Linked DNA regions of Canis lupus familiaris. The protein of the gene in region 1 interacts with the protein of each later gene in a biochemical or structural test. Links are inferred from orthologs where the notes say so. Each region holds a gene or a part of one and is shown in the gene's direction. Other genes may lie near its edges.

Region 1 (7,284 bases):
GGAGAACTGGGAGGAAGGAGAAGCTGACTAGCACAGGAATAGGAAGGGAATCACAACAGGCTGAGAAAACCCAAACAACTTTGTGTACAGAGACCACATACCTGACTGAGGGCGCAATCTGGGGTGTCTTTGTCGTTTCATGTGCTCTGCTTTGTCTGCTGGAGTGAGTCGTGTCCCTGTCTGGCCTAATTCTTTGGCCACCAGCTAGGGAGAATTAGAAGGTTGGAACTGTCAAGGTCTCAAGACTTCCTCCTCCTACCCTTAAGGAAAAAACCCACCTCACCCTGCCTGTGTACCCTACCACCTGTTGTACACGGAGAGCAAACTCCTCATTCCCCTCTCCAAGCTGGCGATGAACAGGCGGGAGCCACCTGAAAAAAAAGAAATTCCAGGACCATGTTGAGTGTGCCTGGGTTAGAGGCTTTCACCCTCTCCCCCACTTTGATACTTATTCATGGAACAGTTGTGATCACAGTGGAGAGATAGTAAACACTTTGTATTGCTTCTGCGATAGAACCGTGATACTAAAAGATCTACAAATGAACAGGGAAGAGGCAACTTCCCTGACCCTGAGGTGAGTTCCTCCCAGGCACCAAAAAGTAAAGGCAGTTAATACCTTACTTGATACACCGTGAAAGGGACGAAGAGTGACCACAGCAGTTCTGAGACCCAGGAGGCATCAGACACCGTCTAGAGGGAGGGCATGAAGTGAGGTCTAAGCCTAGGCCAGCAGTGAGAAACTTACCCTCCAAGCCCCAGAGATTCCCTGTTCAACACACACTCACCACAGAGACTAGGGGTCTCTGGACTCGCAGGGTAAGAGGTTGTACCACATCCTGAATAGAAAATGGCCAGGAACTGGAAGACGGAAGAGACAGTAGGATGGGATTCTAGCCAGCCTGTCAGCACCTGACTCAGAACAGAAAACTGTTAAACTGCACGAGTAGGTAAATAAAGAATAAAGAGATATAAGGGGAAAGAACTAAGAGCAAACAGAAAAGATATCAACTAGGACGGAGAAGGTAGGGCTGAAAATTGTGAAAAATCAAGGGCCCCCAAGCCTGACCACCTACCCAGCTGGAGACCGATACCTGTGCTCACCCACCTGAAGCGCAGGAGCCCCTCCCGGCCATTGGTGGCCTCTTCCTCAGGGAATAGCAGCAGAGGGGTGGGGGGAAGCCTCGTGGAAGCACAGAATCTCTTGAGTGACTCCACCAACTCCCCCCGCCCATCCATCTCCATGAAGCCCCGAGACCAGCACACAAAACTTGGGGGACTATTGAGTAGAGGCTGGGAATAGAGAAGAGAGAAAGCAAGAAAAGAATATTGGGAAGTGAGAAAAACTGACATCTAGGGTACAGAAGCGGGATTGGGGGTAAGCCTCAGTATTTCCCAGTGGTCCCCAAGGGAAACCCGGGCGGGCTAAGGGGAGCCTCCAGCTGGGCCCCAGGGAACCGCCCCGTAGAGCTCTCGGCTTTGCCCCCCACTCACGGTGCTACAGCTGGTGAGCAAGTTGACTATGTTATGGTCGAAAGGTGTCACGTGGTTGGAAATGAGGACCCTGACGCGGTGATCCCGGAGTCCGGAGTTCTCCTGCCGGGCCACGAGCCCCAGCACCGCACACATGGTCCGCACCACGAACCTGGGGACGCGGGCAGTGGTGACTCCACGGCCTCCGGCCGGGCCCAGCCCAGCCCTCCCCGGGACCCCCAGGCCGTTACCTGCGAAGGACACTGTCCGGTAGAGCGCAGCTGACCAGGAAGACGTGGATCCCAAGAAAGAGGCGCAGGACAAGGAGGCAGAACCCGACGGGAGCATAGAGCAGCAGCGCGAGGAGCAGGAAGCCGTCACCCGGGAGCCTGGGGGCGAAAGGCGGGGTGATCGGGCGCCGGAGGCCGAGTGCACGCGGGAGCCGGCCTCTTCCCGCCAGGGCTCTTACCGGTGAGAGTCGAAGAGCCGCTCCGGCCCCAGCGCCGGGGAAGGATCCATCGCGGGGGCTTTAGAGCTCTCCGGCCGCCGCCGCCATCTTCGCGCCCGGCCGCAGGGGCTCCTGGGAAGGCGGAGTCTTCGGGCATCCGCCCAGGGTGCGGGCACCCGAAATCTTGAGGCGCCCCGGAAGGGCTAGCGGTCCCAGCATGCCTCGCGGCCCTTGGGCCACCTAGGAACTCGCGTCCCGCGGGGACCACAATTCCCGGCATTCCTGGGGCGGGGGCGGAGTCGGCCTCCCGGAATCCTGGGTCCCGGCGTGCACTTCTGGAGGACTTCAGGTCCCGGCGTGCCCCGCGTCCCTCCGTCCGCCACCTCGCGTCCAGGGCGCCGCCTCTGTGTAGGGCGGGCGAGGAGGCAGTCGAGGCGGAGCTGATGGCTGCACTGAGGGCGGGGCGGGGTGCAGCCTGGAACCTCCGGGGATGGCGGGCTTTGGGGGGGGTTCACTCGGGGAAGGGACCCCTGCTGACCCCTGACCTCCGGGCCTTGCTGACGTCAGGAATTCCTGACCCCCGGGCCCGAGTGACTTATGGGACCCCCAGCCTCCGGGCCCGGTGGTCTGTGGGGGTCCCTGAACCACGGACGTGTCTGACGTCGAGGACTTCGGATTCCCGAGCATGGCTGGCTGTAGGGACCCCAGATCCCAGGACCCAGGAGGGCTCAGGGACCCCTGGAACCCGTCCGCGTATATGGCTGGCGGTGGCGCTGGGCGCTGGGGGGGCAGTGCTGTTGTTACTGTGGGGCGGGGGTCGGGGTCCCCCAGCGGTCCTCGCCTCGGTCCTTGGCTCGCCGCCCAGCTCTCCCCGGAGCCAGTACAACTTCATCGCAGACGTGGTGGAGAAGACAGCACCTGCCGTGGTTTATATCGAGATCTTGGGCCGGTAACGGTGGGGAAGGCAGGAGGCACCAAGCCGCGGGCTAGAGGGCGGAGGAGCCGGGGTGTGAGCCTCCCTGCATCCTTGCTTCTCACCCCCACCCCTCCAGGCACCCTTTCTCCGGCCGCGAAGTCCCTATCTCGAATGGCTCAGGATTCGTGGTGGCTGCCGACGGGCTCATCGTAACCAACGCTCATGTGGTGGCAGATCGGCGCCGGGTCCGTGTGAGGCTGCTCAGCGGCGACACATATGAGGCCGTGGTCACAGCTGTGGATCCTGTGGCAGACATTGCGACGCTAAGGATTCAGACTAAGGTGGGGGCTGAGCAGGCTGGGTCTGGTTGGGGCTGTGAATTTGCTCACATCTTCAGATGACAGGTCTCTTATACCCATTCTCTCTCAGGAGCCTCTCCCCACACTACCCCTGGGACGCTCAGCTGATGTCCGGCAAGGGGAGTTTGTTGTTGCCATGGGAAGTCCCTTTGCACTGCAGAACACGATCACTTCTGGCATTGTCAGCTCTGCTCAGCGTCCAGCCAGAGACCTGGGCCTCCCCCAAACCAATGTGGAATACATCCAGACTGATGCAGCTATTGATGTGCGTTCTGATATAAGAGAAATGACAAACTAGGTTGGGGGTTGGGGGAAAGGCTGTGTGGTACAGGCACCAACTGTTGATAGATGGCGGATGAGCCTGTATACAGAGGTTGGGCTGCAAATATGTGGCCACTCAGGTTGGGCTGGGAAAGGAGAGAATTTGGAAAAAGTGCCTACATCCTGGTCATGCCTCCAGGCATAGAGTTCCTGGATCTCTTCCATATTTTCTCCTTGTCCTGCAGTTTGGAAACTCTGGAGGTCCACTGGTTAACCTGGTGAGTGGGACATCCTTCTTTCCAAGAATCCCTGCCCCAGGTCAGTGTGAGAATGGGTGTGCTTCCTCTAATTCAACGATGTTTGGTCAAGTTTCTAAGCAGCCTCCTGTTGGCTATCTCCCAAAATCCAACCAGGTCTCCCCAGCCTGCTCCCTCATTCTCCCTGCTACTCTTGTTCAGGTATCCCCTCCTCCTACTATGTTTCTGGGCTAGGGATTAGTGGGCTCTGTTCCTGCAGGATGGGGAGGTGATTGGAGTGAATACCATGAAGGTCACAGCTGGAATCTCCTTTGCCATCCCTTCTGATCGCCTTCGAGAGTTTCTGCATCGTGGGGAAAAGAAGAGTGAGCCTGGCTTAGGGGGGAAGAAATTACTTTGAGTGGTGGGAAGGGCATTCATTGTGCTTTACTGGAGAGGGGTTGTCTACTGGGAGGAAAGGGAGGGGAAGGAAGGATGTAACTGGGTGGGGCTCATTTGTCCCTCTATCACAGATTCCTGGTTTGGAATCAGTGGGTCCCAGCGCCGCTACATTGGAGTGATGATGCTGACCCTGACTCCCAGGTACGAGCTTTGGGGGTAGTGACCTGTAGGACCACCAGTATATTCAGTGGTGGGCAAGTGGCACTTCTGTTGGGCTTTGTTCTCAGTTTTATCTTTATCTAAGATAAGTTGCCCCACACTAGGAGCTATCAGAAGAGCTATTCTCATGATCTTGACTTTCTCACTCCAATCCCTCTTGTACACCTGCTACCAGATTGATTTCATCCTGTTACTGCTTTGGTTTAAAAACTTCAATCCATTAGCCCGGTGCTTAGAGGCCATTTTCCATTTGTCTCCAATTTAACCTTTTAGATCTGGCTTCTTACAAGAATATATTCTGTTCCAGCTGACCTGGATTTCCTACTCCTATGGTTTTATTTATATTGCTCTTGTTTTATATAGTTAAATACCAGAACCATTTTATGCTCAGCTTATGTTCTACTCTCTCAAAGTTTCTCTTAGAATTCTAGAATGACATTAGTGCTATTGATTTAATATGATGTATCACTTGGAATGAGTTACCTTTTATACACATGTCCCACTTCCTAACTTTGAAAAGGCAGAAAGTGAATTGCCTTTGTATCCGGAGTATCTAGTGCATGCCCTTGTCCATGCAGTTGTCGGTGTGTTGATGAGAGATTTGAGGTGAACCCAAGATGGGGAGAGTGCCTTGGTGCTGTTAACAGAGTGATCTGTGTCCTTTTAGCATCCTTGCTGAACTACAGCTTCGAGAACCAAGCTTTCCTGATGTTCAGCATGGTGTACTCATCCATAAGGTCATCCTGGACTCCCCTGCACATCGGTGAGGAAGAGACTGCATTGTGAGGTGGGGATGGGTGACGTATGCATGTGCCCTTGAACCGGGCTGTCTATCCCCTCCTTTCTCTTTCTGTCTGTCTTTCACCATAGGGCTGGTCTACGGCCAGGTGATGTGATCTTGGCTATTGGGGAGCAGCTGGTACAAAACGCTGAAGATATTTACGAAGCTGTTCGGACCCAATCGCAGCTGGCAGTGCGCATCCGGCGAGGACCAGAAACATTGACCTTATATGTGACCCCTGAAGTCACAGAATGAGTGGGTCAGCAGGAGTATGAGGCTCTTGCTCTGATTTCCACCTTGCTTTCCTGGCCTAGGCTCTGAGGGTACCTGGACAGAGGATTAAATGAACCAGTGGGGGGCAGGTCCCTCCAACCACCAGCACCAATCCCTGGGCTCTGAGGAATCATAAAAATGCTTTTTATATAAAATAAAATTATACCTAGCATCATGTTATAATCAAAAATAAGGGGGGAGGGGGTACCAATCTTTTCCCCCACAAAAAGGCTAGAGGTAAAGCTGTATCCCCCCTGAACTGAGGGGAGATACTGGAGCTGACCATTCTGACCTCCCTATTCAAGAAAACCAGCTGCTGCTGTCTGTCCTTGGCAGTTCATTGGGTGCTGCTCTTTGCAGTGTGCTTGGCTCGGTGCTGGGCCCGGGAGCAAAAATTCCCCATGCTTGGCAGCTGGCCTGAGAAGGAGGGCGATAACCTCGGCCTGACAGTTCCACATCCATAGTGTGCACTGGATGAGTAGCCAGCCCACCGATGTCAGGGGTCCCTTGGTAAGCTCCTGAGGTAATGGCAGCCTCAGACCCCTGCCCTCAGGGGCCAGTGGTGGTTTGCAGAAGAGGGTGGCAGTGCCTCAGATGATCTGGTTGCTGGTCTGGCCAGGGTAGCGCTCAAACTTCCTGTTGGCCTCTTCACTGAAGGCGTCACCTGCGAGGTGAATAGGCGGGTTAGGTGGGGGAGCAGACCCATTGTGGGGAAGGGTGGTGAGAAGCTGAGGGGCTGGGAGATGCAGAGGCAGGTGGGAGGACACAGAACCAATGTAGGAGGAAGAGAGTGAGTGAATGAAGGCCTTTTCCTCCCACCCTGGTCTCTCTGGGTTGCCCTCCCCCACACACCGATGTGGCAGTTGTGCACCCAGATGCGGTGCCCGTCATATTTGCAGTTACACTTCATTGCGTTGTTGGTGAAGTCACTTTCTGCTACTTCAAAATTGGGGTTGATGACCACCTGTGAGTGGGAGAAAGGCAATGTGACCAGTTGTACTCCTCAGATCCAGAGGTGCCCTTAACAAACCTTCCTCCCATTTGCCAGCTGGATGTCAGTCTCCCAGCACCTGCAGAATGTAGTTTCCTGGCTTCACATCTGTGATGTCAATCCACTGGCAGTCGATGTCATGGCGGTAGAGGTCCCAGCAACCCACGGTAATGCCTTGCTCTCCAAAGTTGGCACACTCATACCTCTTGGAGACATCTGAGAGGGAATGGCACATGTCAGTGTGAGGCAAGGCTGGTGGGACGGAGATACCGGAGTCCTTTTGAAGCCCAACTCACCCTCCTGACATTCAGTGTCTTCCAGACAGAAACTAGCTTTGTGGCCTTCAGCCACCTTGGTGCCATTGGGAGTCAAGATATCATAGTGAGTGAAGATGTCCATACTGTGGTAATGCCTGTGGGGACAAGGGAACCCCTGTTTCCTTCCCTACCCCCAGCAGGCTTTGCCCCATCTCCAGCGATCTTGCCCTTCTACTTGACCCTCTCACCCGTGACACTCATGCCACACCCAGGAGTGGCGCCCAGCCTTGGGCCTGAAGTCAGCTCGTCCCAGGTTGTGGATCTGAGAGGAGAATCGGAGGAGACGCCTGTGGCCATAAGGCCAGTTGGCTGAGCGGGCCGAGCGGGCCAGACAGTTTTCTTCTGCGGCACAGTACAGCATGTGCAGGGGCCGGTCCTCGATGTAGGCAGTCTCCTGTACCAAGGCCGAGTGCAGCAGTAGGTCTGACGCAGCTGCCCCAAGGAAGGAAGCAGAGTGTGGAAAGTCACTGCTGAGGGGTGGGGCTGGATGGGGGTGCTCCTCCTCCCCCTGCAGAGGGGGAGAAGGCTGGTTGTCACAGGAAAGGAGTACCCCTCCAGCTTACAGCTCTCTTTTTCCCTCCAAGGCGGTGGTCCAGAGCCTCCCTTCCCTG
Region 2 (7,467 bases), on another chromosome or scaffold:
TAAAAGTGTACAGCTAGCATTCGTTCTCTAGAAGTAGGTACTCTCTTACTGTTATCTCCAACCTAAAACCCTTCAACAAATCCCCATTGTCTACAGAATAGATAATAGGTAATATCTAGATGATATTAGATATCAAATTGTTTTCTTTACCCAAGTAGATGTATGGCAAGATGGTTGCAGTATAATATCAATAGGTCAAGAGTATTGTTTGGGTGAAGGGGGGGCGTTGATTGTGTTTGGGCTGAAATGACTAACCACCAAGTATTGGTTGAGCTAGGAAGGCAGAGAGGCCAGTAGTTGAGTAGTAATAAACCAAAACACTAAAAAGGGTTTGAATGAATGTATTACTGATATGGATACTTTTGTTCATTTTTAATTTTCACATTAACCAGAATTTTCTTCTTTTTTAAATATCCCAAACCCATAACCGCTTGCCTCACTGTCTGTTGAGAACCACATCCTAAAATTAAGATGAACCACATCTTAAAATTAAAATTAACCACATCTAAAAATTAAAATCATTTAATTTGAAATTTTTTGCCCTATATTTCAAAGTATGTATTATATTGACTTCTTTTCCGCTTCTTCTGTGTCAGGAAAACTGGTGCATTTTGTGCAGGCCTAATTCTTTTGGCTGTGGCCCCAAATCTATCAGAATTTGCTTCATCAATTTATTCTCACACCTTTGGTGTGTTTCAGCTTTCTCACCATTGATCTCTTTATTTTGAACCACAAACCTTGATCCTAAAACTACCTTCCTGTGTTTCTGGTTGTCCCTATTGTTTTAGATACCATTCCACAGGTGTCTTTACTTCCTCTTCTAAAATCTCAGAAGAGTAATGTTGCTTTGAATTCCTCCCACATTACTTGCTTTTTAACCACTTGCAGTGCATCCCAATGGTTTCAATGATAATGACTCTCTGTGTCCAAAAACCTCCTCCTTGTTTCCACCTTAGTTCCACCTGTGTGGCATTTTCCTCTTAATTCCACTTGTTTCTTCTAGCTATTTCCTCCCATGGCTTCCATGATTTTCAGTCTCTTCTCCTCGATACTTTGTATTTCTCCTATTTGCTTTTGTTCTACCAGCCCCTGAATAACAGGGAGCGCTTGAGTTCTAGTCTTAGACAATTTCTTTTCTCACTTGCACACTTTCCCTAGGGAAGTTCATTTATTCCTTTGTCAGGAAAAAAATTTCTATAACGTACTTATGACTACTCTAAGCATCACATTTAAGTGGCAAAGCCTTCTGGATACCTTCAAACTTACCGTATACAAGATTTAAGCCTTTCTAATTTCAGCCTGGCTTCTTATCTTGGTTTACAACATGATTAACTTTTCAAAACCCAGGCATATGTTATTCATTCATTTCCCTGATTTCTTGCATTTCTCATATTTTAATGACATATTTGTCTTCTCAGTGCTTAAGATGCCCAGTACCATCTTTCTAGTTGATGTCATCATAATGTCTGTCTTCAACTACTATAGTATGTTACTAACATGTTACTATAATAGCTCCTTTACTAGGCTACCCTAAGATAGTGTCATAAAGTCATAAAATTCAAGAAATTTCACAATCCCTCCTTCTTTCAAATCTCTAGTATCTTTCCTTATTTCCAATGAACTATGTCACCCTGCATAATTGAAATTCAAAGGCATTATGATCTGACTCCATCAAACCCTTGCAATAGTAGTTTTATACTCTCTGCCTTCTACATATCCTGAAGTACAAATCCCACCAAATGTGGTATTTTTCTCTTCAATTCCTCTTTCCTTCAGCCAAAATACTTTATTCACATTTTATCATTTCTTAAAATACTACTTATTCTTTTCAGGTCTAACTAAAAGCACAGCTCTTTAATAACCAATTCCCCTGCCCACACTCATCACCAATGCCCCACTCCTCCAATTCAAGCATAATTAAATCCTACACATTTAAGCACAAATGCTACATTAAGAACAAGTTTTATAACAGAGTTTATAAAAGGAGTTAAAACATGGACACTGCATATGAACAAACAGAAATACATGTAGTCAGACAGATCTAGTTTTAAGTGGTATCTTTGCAATTAACGAAAATATGATTTGAGCAAGTTACTCAATCTCTTGTCTCAATTTCTTCAACCAAAATATGGAAAGGACAACTACCTCATGATATTTTTGTAAAGATTATACAAGATAATGTCTGTAAAACACATAGTGCCTGGAATAGGGGTATAGTAAGCATAAAAAATAAAGGTTATTATGCCTGAAATAGAAAAAGGTAATATTTATCAGGTAAATAAGTCTGCATGACATTTTACAAAATTTTTGTTACAGATTTACCAAGAATTTTCACTGTACCAGCTATCCAGATAGATTCCTTTTCTAAGATGTTTCATTACAGAGGAAAATTTATTCCTCTTGTGTACACAATGTTGAAGTGAGAAATTTATTCTTCCCAAATCAAGTAGTTCTGGGAGCTTAGCAGTTAGCCTTACATGACTAAACTATCATCATGGACTTGTTATCTTGTTATTTTCTCCACTGTAGCATGAAACACCAACAACTGCTTAGGTTGGCGTGAAGTTGTGGCCTCTGTGAAGTCCCTCGTATGTCTGATATTCATATAGAAATCCCCTCACAGTTAATATCTTGAGGAGCCACGAGGGCTGAAGAGACTTAACTGCATCCACAATAAGTTGTGGATTGGGCCAGAGCCTCAATGTCTTCCAGTTATTAGACAATTACATTTCCTGGACAGATTTCCTTTATTGGCTTGTGATTTGCTTTCTTGTTAAAATGCTCCTCAGAATTTCTGGGGACAGATAATAGGCAGAAATCATATTCTAATCATGTGGACCTCTTGGAATTGAAGCTGACCGTTGATTTTATCTCAAACCGCAAAATTAGCATACCACCAAATACAGTATATAAACCACCACAAAAGCAGACAGACCATCATCCACTTAGCTTCCCCTTCACTTTCTGTACTCCACCTTGGAAAAAAGGTAAGAATTTCATATATAAATTTTATGTATTCTCTCTTCACTTTTATTTCAACTAGGCTAAATTATATGAAGAAAATAATTGCTTAAAATAGGATCTTTGAAATAAGAGTATTTAAAATAGCACTGACACTATTTTCAATACCTAGGTTAAAAAAATAGAAAGATCTAAGAACATTTGATAAAAATTATGAGTGCAAATGTTTTATGAGTCTAAAAAATGTAGTAATAATGATAACCATTTTTAATACAAAGCCAATGAATAAGCTATATTAAAAAATCTACTTCTTGAATTAATAAATCTTCCAAGTTGGTTAAACATACTAAAGCAATAAAAGAAAATATACTTAAATTGTTGGTTTGGGATATGAATAATTAATGGGAAACTTTTACCCAAAAGTAGTTTTAGAGGTAGCATATTGAGTCAAGAAACTGCAGAATTTGTTTGGGGATATGCACTACTTGAAATGTTTATAAATATTTTTTCAGAAATATGTATTCAAATTTATTTAGTGTATCCAACCTCCCCCTTTATCATTTGGTTTATAATAGCTCAAAATATTGTTAAAATAGACATAAAATACAGAATTAAGTTAAAGGGAAAATGTTTTTACTTTGGAAAAAAATTCCAAAAAAAGAAAAAAAGATGATACAGAGATGACTTGAAACTAAAGCAAAAGAAAGAGAAGATTTGAAAGAAAGAATACTATAGAATACATTGGTAAAAAATGAGGTTCTGGCTAAAAAAATTAATATATAAAATGCTAATTAGAAAATATAGAAAATGAAATAAGATTCTTCCTACACATTATGATCTCTAATAGAATGCTATATTCTTTTTTGGGGGTCCTGACAATGAGAAATTATTTGGAAACTTCTGAAGCTCTTAGGCAAAGTAAAATTAAAGTTTATATAGTACCCATGAGAAAGATCTAGAAAAGAAAATCTTTTTCTGAAGTAAGAATAATTTTCAGACTTCAAATATTGGAAGGGATATTTTGCAGATGAATTAGGGACTTTTTTCATGAGACATTTTTAGTTTAGAAATTTGTTTAAATATCTGAGATTGAAGATTGTATGCCAAATGATATTAGTGGTACAAACATTATTTTGTACAAGCAATTACAGAAATGCAACAAAATCAAGCATTTAGTACATTTTGGTTAGAAACTTTAACATATATATCATGTTATACTACAAGAAGAGGTTGTTTGAAGTGGGGATTGGGCAAGGGGACCAGACACTTTGGTAAATCATCAAGAAATCAGAAAAAAAAATACAGTGTACAATCTCTAAAGTTATGTGCACAAAAGAGAGGAGGCATTATTATATGGAAATGACTAAACAAATATTCATGGAAACCATTGGTTTAGTAAAAAGAAAAAAAAAGATAAAAGAAAATATAATCTGCATATACATTTTCTTTGATCAGTTACCTCCTGATAGAACTGAGGCTTTATCAAGGCTGAGACATTTGTTTGCTGCTATCAACCCAGTACCTAGATAGTGTCTGGCAATAAAAGATGTTAAATAAATATTTTTGAACAAATGAATCAATTAGTAAATATTTCTGTAAATATTTATAACTTTTTTTCTGTCCTTCCAAAAACCCAACTATAGTGCTGTGAATGAGATGAAAAAGAGTGAGGTAGGGTAATGGTAATGGATGAAAAAATATGAATGGTATGAAAATGACATGTAAGAGTAAAGAGCCACAGTAGATTTTGACCTTGCCCGTATGATAAAGCATCTATTAGTATTTTTTTCTAAAATACAGGGTTTTTTTTATTACATATTATCTTTAGTTTCTTTAAAAGGAAAGTAATCCTAGCTAAATTAAGAAAATAGCTTGACCAAGGTATTACCATTCTTCCATTTCCTCATTGACAGGACTTGATAACCATGAAGGTTTTCATCCTTGCCTGCCTTGTGGCTCTTGCTCTTGCAAGAGAGGTAAGCAAATGTCTAATTAGGATAGAATGGAGTATCTACCTATGTGGAGAGAAGAATATCCTCAACATTTTTAAAGTACAAATAAAGCAGAATTTCAACAGATTTATTTTGACTTCCTGGAAAATGATTTGCATGACACATTATTTTGACAGTGTGCAATAGGAGCACAGATTTGGGTCAAATGGTATACAGTGGTATATACTGTGCTATCAGTCCCAAAAAGAAAAGCAAATGGACAGATAAGCAAACAGACAAAACAAAAATAAATGGATATAAACATGACAATAATAATATTGCACAAATATGATTGCAGGCATGTGCACCCTAGATAAATATATCTTATTCCAGTAATAAAATATATGTATCTTTACCTTATGGCCCTGGGCCCAATTCTACCTGTGTTTGTCCAAAGACATTTAGAGAGAGGATGGAGTATCACACGATAATCATAATCATAAATATATTTGTAATAATAATAAACTGTTTAAAACAAATTATAATAATTTTTTTCTATTAGCCATTAAAAACGTTTATTCACATAAGAAGAAAATATATCAATAAAGTTACTAAATATAAAAGACATAAAAATAACTACCTTTCAAGTCTTTCAATATAGCATTTTTTATTTCTCAAGTTTGTGAAACACATAGCTCTGCATAAAGAAGATAAAAATCATATAGGGAAAATGTTTAAGAATGAGTTAACCATGGAAACTAGAATGGTATTTTTTTCTGTTACAGAAGGAAGAACTCACTCTATCCAATGAGGTAGGATATTTTTATTCACAAAAAATTTCCAACCATAAAATATTAACATTCTTCAATGATCTAGGAAAAGCTGGTTGCTGATAGATTTGTTTTTTCTTTACAGACTGTGGAAAGCCTTTCAAGCAGTGAGGTAAGAAAATGTTTTCAGAGGCAATTCCCCAGTTTGAGAAGAGTAAAATGCTGTGCTATCTTTCTATTGTGTTACATTAGGACAATTACTTCAATGCAGCTCTGTTTGACATGTTTTGATGTAAATTTCCATTGTATATGTTTTGTTTCCATTGCATGTGCATAAAGATAGAATAAATATCTGGTGAATTCACTATTTTAGCACTTTCTAAATTGTCTCACTACTTGAAATTGTCATCGTGACCCCCTCTTTTTTTTTTTTTTAATGTACTGTACAGTCCTGTTTTCTGTCTTGAGCTGTTTTTACCCTGGCCTCATTTCCCTATTCTGATATTTATTGGGCACTGTCTGTGGGTCAGACATTGAATAGGAGCTGTGGTACAAAGGGAAAAGAGGGATGCCCAGAGTAAAGAGCTTGCAATATAATACGTGAGCAGACATGCAAATAGACACCTTTTATAATTACAATAGTCACTTTAGTAAATAAGAGATGGTGAGAGGTAGTATATAGTCTTAATCTGCCTGGGAGAATAAGGTAGGTATTTACCTTGGCACCACTCTTTATGGATATGTTATTACCTGTTAGTTAAATAGTATGTCAGTATACTTTGCCTCTCTACAAGGTTATCAGACCCTTAAGAGAGGTATTTATTTCTTATAATTAATTTGAAGTGTAAACACAGTAAGTAAACTAAGAATGATTAAAAGAATTAAAAGATAAAATTCATATTATCAACAAATATTATTCTTTAGAATCAGATAGAGTATAAGTAATCATTTGTTGACCTAGGAAGATAGCATGGTGATAGAAATTAACATCTATTAAATACTTCTTTTTGTTACTGTGTTCACTATTTTCTTATAAAACTGCATTCATTTTTCTTTTATATGATAAGTTTATGCAGAACAGTGCAACATATAAGTTTCAGCAATTATCCTGAGTTTAGAATATCATCAAAGTGTCCACATTAACCTATTACATGCCTTCATTTCCTGACTTATATTGATAAATAAGAAGCATTCATAAAACTAAACCTAATTTTATTTTTATTTTTCTTAAGGAATCTATTACACACATCAACAAGGTAACATCTTTGTATTTAAATGTACTTATTTTCAAAATTTCCTACGTTTAATTTTTATAGATGGTAACATTTCTTTACATGTGATTTGGTTTTTAGCAGAAACTTGAGAATTTTAAACACGAGGAGCAACAGCAAAGAGAGGTAATTTATGCTTGAGAATTATATTTCTAACATTATTATGAAATATAATACATGCAAAATATGTACGTATTCACTCTAAAGAATGATAATAAAACAAATGCCACTGAGGAAATTAAGTTTTGACAAAGTCAAAATATTTTTAAGACAAGGATGCGTGGGTGGCTCAGCCATTGAACATCTCCCTTAGCTCAGGGCATGATCCTAGGGTCCTGGGATCAAGTCCTGCATTGAGCTCCCTTCGGGAACCCTGCTTAGTTTCTCTTCTTCTGCCTATGTCTCTGCCTCTCTCTCTGTCCCTCATGAAAAAATAAATAAAATATTTTAAAAATATATATTGAAGACATAAGTGCAACTGTTTGACAATATCACAGTTGTTAAGTAGTAGAGCTTGCTTAAAATTAAGGATTT

Evidence for each region. The genes of interacting proteins can lie anywhere in the genome.
Region 2: of the proteins of HTRA2 (region 1) and CSN2, one has a biochemical effect on the other in vitro, tested with the Homo sapiens proteins (2 studies listed by BioGRID). The link is inferred for Canis lupus familiaris from reciprocal best matches to the Homo sapiens genes HTRA2 and CSN2.

Annotation. Positions count from the first base shown.
Region 1 is NC_049238.1:49,109,497-49,116,780, reverse strand, and holds HTRA2 (serine protease HTRA2, mitochondrial), read left to right. Parts: upstream 1-2,358; 5' UTR 2,359-2,361; coding exon 2,362-2,867; intron 2,868-2,970; coding exon 2,971-3,175; intron 3,176-3,263; coding exon 3,264-3,458; intron 3,459-3,699; coding exon 3,700-3,732; intron 3,733-3,970; coding exon 3,971-4,076; intron 4,077-4,223; coding exon 4,224-4,293; intron 4,294-4,978; coding exon 4,979-5,074; intron 5,075-5,181; coding exon 5,182-5,347; 3' UTR 5,348-5,352; downstream 5,353-7,284. Other genes in the region: LOXL3 (lysyl oxidase homolog 3), read right to left, coding at 5,956-6,029, 6,218-6,329, 6,436-6,572, 6,653-6,768, 6,862-7,105.
Region 2 is NC_049234.1:60,455,817-60,463,283, reverse strand, and holds the start of CSN2 (beta-casein precursor), read left to right. Parts: upstream 1-2,936; 5' UTR 2,937-2,987; intron 2,988-4,874; 5' UTR 4,875-4,886; coding exon 4,887-4,937; intron 4,938-5,677; coding exon 5,678-5,704; intron 5,705-5,807; coding exon 5,808-5,834; intron 5,835-6,894; coding exon 6,895-6,918; intron 6,919-7,014; coding exon 7,015-7,059; intron 7,060-7,467. UniProt on the Homo sapiens protein: Important role in determination of the surface properties of the casein micelles.